Linked DNA regions of Arabidopsis thaliana. The protein of the gene in region 2 interacts with the protein of the main gene of each other region in a pairwise test. Each region holds a gene or a part of one and is shown on either strand. Other genes may lie near its edges.

What was found. Proteins that work in one complex are often made in the same cells at the same time.
Region 1: the proteins of AT3G61180 (region 2) and AT4G03600 interact in a protein complementation assay, tested with the Arabidopsis thaliana proteins (one large-scale study listed by BioGRID).

Annotation. Positions count from the first base shown.
Region 1 is NC_003075.7:1,602,888-1,606,932, forward strand, and holds AT4G03600 (pyrroline-5-carboxylate reductase), read right to left. Parts: upstream 1,742-4,045; 5' UTR 1,422-1,741; coding exon 933-1,421; 3' UTR 751-932; downstream 1-750. Other genes in the region: AT4G03590 (Cystatin/monellin superfamily protein), read right to left, coding at 1-63; AT4G03610 (Metallo-hydrolase/oxidoreductase superfamily protein), read left to right, coding at 2,152-2,318, 2,603-2,744, 2,848-2,978, 3,076-3,217, 3,306-3,411, 3,510-3,574, 3,655-3,690, 3,785-3,894 and 1 more.
Region 2 is NC_003074.8:22,643,609-22,648,739, reverse strand, and holds AT3G61180 (RING/U-box superfamily protein), read right to left. Parts: upstream 3,249-5,131; 5' UTR 3,061-3,248; coding exon 2,516-3,060; intron 2,316-2,515; coding exon 2,196-2,315; intron 2,101-2,195; coding exon 1,968-2,100; intron 1,887-1,967; coding exon 1,722-1,886; intron 1,627-1,721; coding exon 1,450-1,626; 3' UTR 975-1,449; downstream 1-974. Other genes in the region: LCR54 (low-molecular-weight cysteine-rich 54), read left to right, coding at 602-650, 788-969; LCR53 (low-molecular-weight cysteine-rich 53), read left to right, coding at 3,949-3,997, 4,092-4,270.

The DNA of each region.
Region 1 (4,045 bases), on a different chromosome or scaffold from region 2:
TTCCATCAACTTGCTCAACTTTTCTTCTATCATCGTCACGTTTGCACACTGATTGAGGACCATGATGATCGACTAAACCCTAATCCTCTATCTGAAATCCCAAAATCCTAAGATGTAATTCTCTAGACCGAGCGATGGTATTTAAATTACCTTATTATCCTAGAAACATGTGAAATTTAACATAATTGTCATCCAATTTGGTCTTTCAAAAAAAAATTCTTTTTTTTGCTCAGTTAAAAAAAAAAGTTCAACAATATATGTTCCAAAGACAAAAAGATTCACGCATTTTCATGATTTTAGAGTTCTTAGAATTTTTTGTTATAAAAGGTTTGCAGACATTAATTTTTTTCCCCAAATTAGAGTTTTTAGTTGAGGTATTAGAATTCTTTTTATCAAGAAAGGTACTTATAAAAATAAGTATCAGTGTGTGAAATCCACTACTTCAATGTTGGAATGTTACACCTTCCTCAAGAAGGAATTTGAGTAAGAAAGAAGTTGTGTAACCCATTATTATATGATCTTATCTTCGCAAAACATGCCTCTTCAACTAGTTGATGTAGTTTTAAGCTACTAAAATAATAACCGGGTAACTTAAATAGTGAAAACTGATAACAAACTTAATAGGATATGTAAATCACTTGGTTATTGGTCCATGTGTTGAAATTGTGTGGCAATGAACCCACAAACGGATAACAAATCATGATTTTCAATATCTCAAATGAGAAGTTGTGGGACGATCCATTCTAGATACTAAATGCTGTCATCAAGAAAAATTATCTAACCACAAACAAAAAAAATTGAGCCAATGCATCATGAACTTCTTCATTCTACTACTAACAATTGATTTTCTAAATTAACTTTACATTTACATTCGGGAGTGACTCAAGATAATCTAGATCAAAATTCCCTAAATAATCTAAAAATCAAGAACCTTAATATGAGTCAAAATCTCTTCTAATAAGCAGAAAATAAGCTAAAACAGCACAAAAAGCAGCAACAACATTGCCTTCTTTCAAAAGAACCTTAAACACAAATCCGACAACTTCTCTCGTAATCTTCCTTCCTTCAACCACTAAAACTCTTCTTGATTTCCCAAAGAAGGCAAGCAACACCACCACCGATATCCAAATCACCATCACCGCCGGAACCGCCACCGTCATAGCAGCCACCATCGACATAGCTCCAAACATCGCACCGAGCACCACCGACGCGTATACCGCCGGTAATCTTGAAGGAGAATAATCTGAATTTGATGACGTGTATTGAAGCTTGTACCAGTTAAGAACTGATCTCAGGAGGTTCCATGAAGAAGATACGAGAATTGCGTAGACAGCGATGAAGAGACAAACCCATGTCCGTCTTTTACTCATGATTGTGATGAAGATATGATACGATCTTGGAGATTCTGTTTGATCTGCCATTAGAGATTGGAAGTTCTTGCTTATCGATCGAATCTGTTTTGAGATTTGTCTGCGACTGAGCAAAATAAAATAGAGCAGTTTATGAGAATCCTTACACTCAGTCGTAGCGCGTGTCGTGTACGCTTCTTTGTGAATTTGTTTTTGAGCTGGCAATCGCGTGGTTATGGTTCACACGCGCTTTAATATATTTTTTTTTGTGAAATATGAAAAACATTTGGTCGAATTTGTGAGATAATGAAATGGTAATTGGAAAGATTGTGACTGCATTGTTTTTAATAATTAAGTAAATTTAAATTCTGTGGAAGTATATTTAATCAATAAACTGGAAAAACAAAAGAAAAGATTTCGTTACCATAACGATTTAAATTTAAGATTTTGTTATACAGAAAAAGAAATGTAGAAGATTTTTTTCTAATTTAGAGGAGTCAAACAATGATATATAACAAAAAAAATCACAATCCGGTGGATTTGTGGGGTAAGTCATTAATCTTTTACTATTTTGTTTGGAAAAATTAGTAGTCAATATCATTATGACTACATATATCAGTGTCAAAGACTCAAAGTAATGGCTTAGATATTTTATGTTAATAAAAGGAATATATATACTGTGAAAAAGACAAGTTTGTGTAAGGGATCGCATATAATCTCAACTAATACAATAAACAAAGATATAGCCGTTGGCATTAATCAGCTTTGGCTAGACCAACCAGAAGATCAGAATCTTGAGAAGATGGAGAAGAATCAATCTGATGATGATGGAACGGCTCTGATCTTTCTTGGAACAGGCTGCTCCGGTGCAGTTCCCGATTTCAGATGCTTACTCCAGCCGTCAGATCCTCCTTGCCATGTCTGTTCTCAGTCCCTCTCTTTACTTCCTCACCTTAACCCTAACTACAGGTAAATCTTGTCATCAGTTTCTTCTCTTTGGGTTTTGGTCTTTGAAGCTGTGGAGATTTGTGAAATGTCAAATCTTGTTGCTTTCCGTAAAGACCCTTTTGAAGTTGGGAGTTTTGATTGAAAAAAGAGACATCTACTGTTGTCTATATTCGTGTTGGAGTTTAGGTTTTAATCCATTTTAGGTAAAAATGAACCATCCGATTTCTAGTGTTCTTGGGAAATTATTTCAGATATATTAGGGTTTGGTGAACATTCTTGAATCTTGATTCTCTGTTTTTTGGCAGATGCAATACATCGCTCTTGATTGATTATTGCAGCAAGGAAGAAGATGGTAGACATAAGTACATACTTATTGATGTTGGCAAGAGTTTTAGAGAGCAAGTCCTTCGTTGGTTTACCTTTTATAAGATTCCTCGAGTCGATTCCGTTAAGCCCTTTATATACTTATCTTCTTGATCTCTTGCATCTATTTTTTTCTCTGAAATGAAATCTAACTTTTACTGACTAATGCTTGTATGATTTTGTGTAGATCATTCTAACTCATGAGCACGCAGATGCGGTTCATGGCTTAGATGAAATTCGATCTCTTCAACCTCGTGGTGCAACTATTGTTGATACCGATCCACTTCCCGTCTTTCTATCTCAATTTACAATGGAGAGGTACCATCTTCGATTAGTGTTCTCTATCTCAACTCTGGCTTAAAGCTTTTCAAATTAGCATTTGATGAGACTTTTAAGGCAACAAAAAATTGTGCAGTATTGCTACAAGGTTTCCTTATTTGGTTGAAAAGAAGGTAAAAGAAGTACCTAGACGAGTTTCACTTCTTGACTGGAAAAACATCGAAGAGAATTGTGACGAACCATTCGCTGCCTCGGGCTTATCTTTCACGCCTCTTCCGGTTAAATTTCTTTTCACTTTTGAGAAATCAAAACAGTCTAATTCTTCCATGAGACCTTATAGACTCAACAATGTTAGTTATGCTTTAGGTGATGCATGGAGAGGACTACATTGCTTTAGGTTTCCTCTTCGGCGATAAAAGTAAAGTGGCTTATATATCAGACGTATCACGGATTCCACCGAGTACCGAGTATGGTAAGAGCTCATTATGTTATGCCCTAATCATTATACCTCTGTAGTTCACTTCTACTAAAGAGAAAGATTGATATTCTTATGAATCTTTGATTAAGCAGCTATTTCCAAAGCTGGGGCTGGACAGTTAGATCTTCTTATCCTGGATACAAATATACCGTGGAAGGTTCACATCATCTCATAACTTTTGTTTACCGCTTTTTCGATCTTGATAACCTTTCTTGCTGACCATCTCTTTGATAATAGAGAGGACCACATCCCACACACATCTGTTTTACAGAGGTTTGTTTCAATGGTTCTCTTTTTTTTCTTCCCAAAGAATGCTTCACTTCTCTAAACCTTTTTGAGAGTAAGTTTCAATATTCCTATTCTTTAGGCTCTTGAGATCTTAAAGAGGCTATGTCCAAAGAGAGCGCTTTTAACGGGTATGACACACGAGTTTGATCACCATGAATACAATGAGATACTTGCAGAATGGTCTCTAAGGTATGCAATGAAACAATGTTATAAGATTTCTATAAATCAACATCGTTGAATGCTAATAGAGACTATGTTGATTTCTAGGGAAGGAATCCATGTACAGCTTGCTCATGACGGATTACGGCTTCCAATAGACCTATGAGCAAATTACTAAAGA
Region 2 (5,131 bases):
AAAAATTAATATTGCAGTCTCCAGGTCCTCTTTCTTTGTTCTTTCCTCTGTAATGATCAAAGAATTATAAACATGTTTTAAGGTAATGATGAGCTCATCACATTCACAAAGACTGAGAGCACAAATTTCCTCCTCCTCACACTTGCTCATTGCCACTATGTTCACCATTTTTGAGAATATGGAATTTGGAGAGGGCAAGTCGCGTTGATCCTTAGCCATTTGTCTACACATAAACTGTAGAAATGTTGTCTACAAGGAAGTTTTGTCGGACTTTTAAAATAGCGGCAATATTGGCTTTAAGCCTTTAACAGTTTAACTACTTCCACACGCTTCTCTCTTGTTGCTACTTACGATTACAGAATAACCACATTAGTATGGTAGATAATCGTAATATGATCTCTTTCTCTTTTCCACTTTTATACGTTTCCACTTTTAAGTTAATTTCTCTTTGTTTGAATACAACATCTACTTAATTACTTGTTGATTTTTAACTAATTTTAGAGATTTTGTGATATCTTATATATGACATTCACGTGTAGATGATCATTACACTCATTGTCATCTTATTTTTGATAATTTCATTTCTGTTGTATTATCAAAAATGACTAAAGCCATCACTCTTGCTATCTTTATGGTCGTCCTCGTTTTAGGTTTGCTTTATACATAACACATATTTTAATATTTTCCACGTTCCGTCTTTATTATTCATACTAGTTTTTCTTCAACAACACCTTTTATTTTTCTATCAAAAGGAAACTGAGACTATGTTTTAATTTTTTTGTATTAGGGATGGTGACAAAGGAAACGCAAGGAGAAGAAAAACAGTGTTATGATTATCTTTTAACACCGCAGGAAAACTGCGAAGGTTTGATATGCGCACATGAATGTACTATGCAGCATGGTGGAAACGGCGTGTGTGTTGATACTACAAGCACGGTCTGCATCTGCACTTATGACTGCACCAGTTGATTTGTCTTCTGTTATCCACAAACTATATCATCAATCTTTGACTTACTACGTTGAATAAATTTTTAGAATACAATTGATTGCAGTGATTTATATATATATTTTTGAATGTGAATTCTGATTAAATAGTGATCTCTCTCTCTCTTTTTCACCTCACTACAATGACGTCACAGCAATATAAACATGCATGGTTCATCACCGTACATTAATCTAATTAATCCGTTGCTTAAAAACACCAAACGGCTAAAATCACAACTGACTCGATGAATAACATCTTCCAACCGAACTATATATACTTATTGCATTTACAAATATCATATCCAAAAAGACAAGATGTGCAGCTTCATCTCAAAACAAATCTCAAGGTCTTCTTTCTTGTTCTTTCCTCTGTAATGGTCAAAAGAACAAACAGGCTTTGAAGTAAATGATGATGATGAGCTCATCACATTCCACAAAGATTGAACAGCAAAATCTTTCTCCTCATCACACTTGTTCACTGCCACTAGGTTCACCATTTTTGAGGATATTGAATTTGCAGAGAGGGCAAGTAGCGTTGATCCTTAGCCATTTGTCTACACATAAACTGTGAAAATGGTGTCTACAAGGAAGCTCCCTTAGTTCTACTCCATCTTCATAAGCACATAGACAAATGCTGCATTCCTGCAATGGTTTTTTTTTTCCGGTTTTGCTAAAGTCAGTTCAGTGTCTTTATCCAAATTCGATAGAAAATGGGAGATTTGATTATGGTTACTTACAGCATCTTCGCTTAATAACATACGTTCGGTTTGAGACTCGGTATCTAATCCAGTCATTATCCCTCCTTGAGTTTCCCGTATTTCGCCATTCACTTTCTCAGAATTCTTTACTGTGAGAAACTTGAATTTTAAAAGCCTCTCTATCTCTTCATCCGGTGCACCTTCCTGAAATTTACAAATCGCTTAATAGGATTCACCAAGAAACATGAGACTCATTTGTTCTTCATCATCATAATGTTTCTTTACCTGATCTGCTAATGCGTACAAGATCGCAATGATGCAAGGTAAACAGCAACAAACAGCAATACCAATAAGACTAGCAACCGCTACGCAAATGACAACAAACATAACATCAAACGCAAGGAATGCAACACAGAGCCTGCAAAACACACAAGAAACAAAGATTAAATAAATCACAGAAACAAACTCTTGAGAATACAAAATCACAACAGCCAACTTTTGTTAGAAACAAACCAGTAGAGTTGTGGCGAAGATTGAGCTAGTGCCTCGGTATCAGCCGTCACCCAGTAAAACCCGATGATCCACCACACAAAAGAGAACATGGTATTCGCAGATTCAAGGTGCTTAGTGAAACTAGAATAGGAAACAAACCACATGAGAGTAGATCAATGGGAAACAGTTCTCATTCAGTTCTTTATTTCTATACAATCCTAAAAGTTTCCTTCAACCTAACATGGCTCTGAATTCTAAGCTAGTATAAGTCTATCACAAGAACCAACATTGCTCTGAATCTAAGCTAGTATAATGCTGTAGCCATAAGAAAGAAATTGAACCTAGTTCCATGGTCATCATCATCAGTGTTGTTAATGCTATAGCCATCAGATTCATCTTCACTTCCGCTAAGAGACTCGTGATTGGAGGAATCTTCACCACTAGGAGGAGGAGAATTAGCAACACGGCGACGTTTATACTCAGCAATGACACATCCAACATGAAACAAACACTGAACATTATACCCAATGATCCACAACCTAAGAGGAACATCAGGATCTTCATCAGAACTAAACCCTAGAATCGCGATTGAAACAATCACAAATAGGAAATTCCAAAGTATATCGAGAACTATAATGGGTTTAGAGTAAGCCCATTGACTCTGCCGTTCCTCAAGCTGCTCAGCCGCCACCTCACGGACTCGAACGGAGGGCTCACGGAGCATCATCCGGCGGTTGCTAGCACGGCGGAGAAGTCTCGACGCCGCGCCACGAATCGGCTGAGAGGACCGTGGGCGGTTACGTCTGTTCCGGCCAAGAAGCGGCGAAGCGTCCATCGTATCAGTCGTCGGAGAAGAAGATACGGTAGAAGGGATCGATTGATTCATCAATTAGAAAGATTGGATCTTGGGTAATCGGGTTGATCCAGAATCTCGATGGATCGGGTTTGAATTCGCTGGAAATCTGTCGACTTTGCGGGGTGGATGATTCTAGGTTTCGAGGACCAGTTTCTATCTAATGGATAATTGACAAAACGACAAGAGAATGTCTTGTCCCCAATAAACGTTTTGATATCATGAGACTACAGTAGTTTTATTCTTCCGGGAAATTCTAAAAAAATACATAAACTTAATGTAGTTGCTCAAATCTTTTTATTTTCCAAAAGGACTTTTTATATTTTTGCTAACATTTTTTGTACCCCCACAATTTGTGTTATGTTAAGTTTATATCTAAATTATATCATTGTAGTAGACATACTTTATTTTCGAGGTTTAAGGCTCAATTCAATATCTAAATTTTGAGAGTTTAAACTCCAAATATGCGTATTATAGTTAGAAGGGGATTATTTGATGGATCCTTACAACTTATTTTTTAAAGATTAATCCAACTTATTGTACATGAAAATCAGAATTGTAAGATAATTAACTGGATTTTATTTACATATATTTTATAGATAAAAATCTATGAGAATGCACCTTGGACCATTCAATGTATTACAAATTTTAAAATTATTAGTTGTATATATAAGAGAAGCTCTCTTATTTAATTTTATTTTAATTGATTTTGTAAATATCCTTCCTATGTTTATATATTTTATGATTTTGTTTCCATTCCCACCATCTAAATAACTATTTATTTATTGATTTTGTCTACTTTTTTTTATTCATGTACATACTATATGTATATATTTAATTTCTTTTATATATATATAATGATATTCACATCTATATTATCATCAACATTTCTGGTTTTTTACTCTAAAATTTTTATCAAAGATGGCTAAATCCACCATATTCGCTATTTTCATGATCGTCTTCGTTCTAGGTTTGCGTTACATATACCATTCTTTAAAACATTTAATACATCTTTTTGGTTCTATGAAGATTGTGTTTAAAGCTTATGTTTTAATATTTGTTAGGGATGGTAACGAAAGAGACGAAAGGACAAGAAATGTGTCGTGATCTTTTAATGAGAGCTAAAAACTGTGACGATAGCACTTGTGCTACTCTGTGTAAGCAAAAATGGAAAGGAAATGGATCGTGCTTCCCAAACGTATATAGAAAAAGCTGCCTCTGCACATTTCCTTGCAAAACTTGAACTCTTACAAAGTCAAATTGTAATTTATAATAGTAATAAAATAATGATAATAAAACTAATGATAATGACAATGTCACAATGATAATGACATGAAATAAAATTAAACTTACACAATGTCTTATATTATTATATAAATTCTGATTTCATTTTCTTATTTCACATGAACTATAAGCTACTACTTGAGCATATGAGCTTCACAGGGATGGATCATGGATATAACAATTATTTTACAAAATTAAAACATTGGTATATTTGAAACAAAAGTCTTAAAAACACATGAATGAAAGCGGAATGAATAATCTTAGTTATTCCTTATCTAAATTAAAAACATATACATATTCATTAACTAAATAAAATCTGACCTACCAAAAAAAAAACAAAATCAAATCCAATGGTTTTGATGTTGGGCAAGAAACAGGAAATCTAGTTACAAAAAAGAGGTTTTCTTTCATATCTTATTGTTGAATTAGATGGCATTTAAATCAAAAGTTTATCTCATTCTAAAAGTGTTATTTGAATTCAATTCTATTTATATTTGAACAGATTACTTTCTAAAACACTTACTTCCATTCTCACTATCTCTTGACTTGTCCATCTTATGAATATACAGTTTATTTGGATTTTTATTTTCTTTCTAATTAATATACTTGAATGCTTTCCAAATCAAATGCGTCCAACTTTTTTTTCTATTAGGATTGATTGTATATTAGACACGTAGACACACAACTTCACACATATATATAAAGATGATATTTACAAGTCACATATATTACAAAAACCCTCATTTGGTTTAAGATATTAAAAGAACTTCAAATCCTTTTTTTATAGATAAATATCAATGAGAATGCAATTTGGACCATT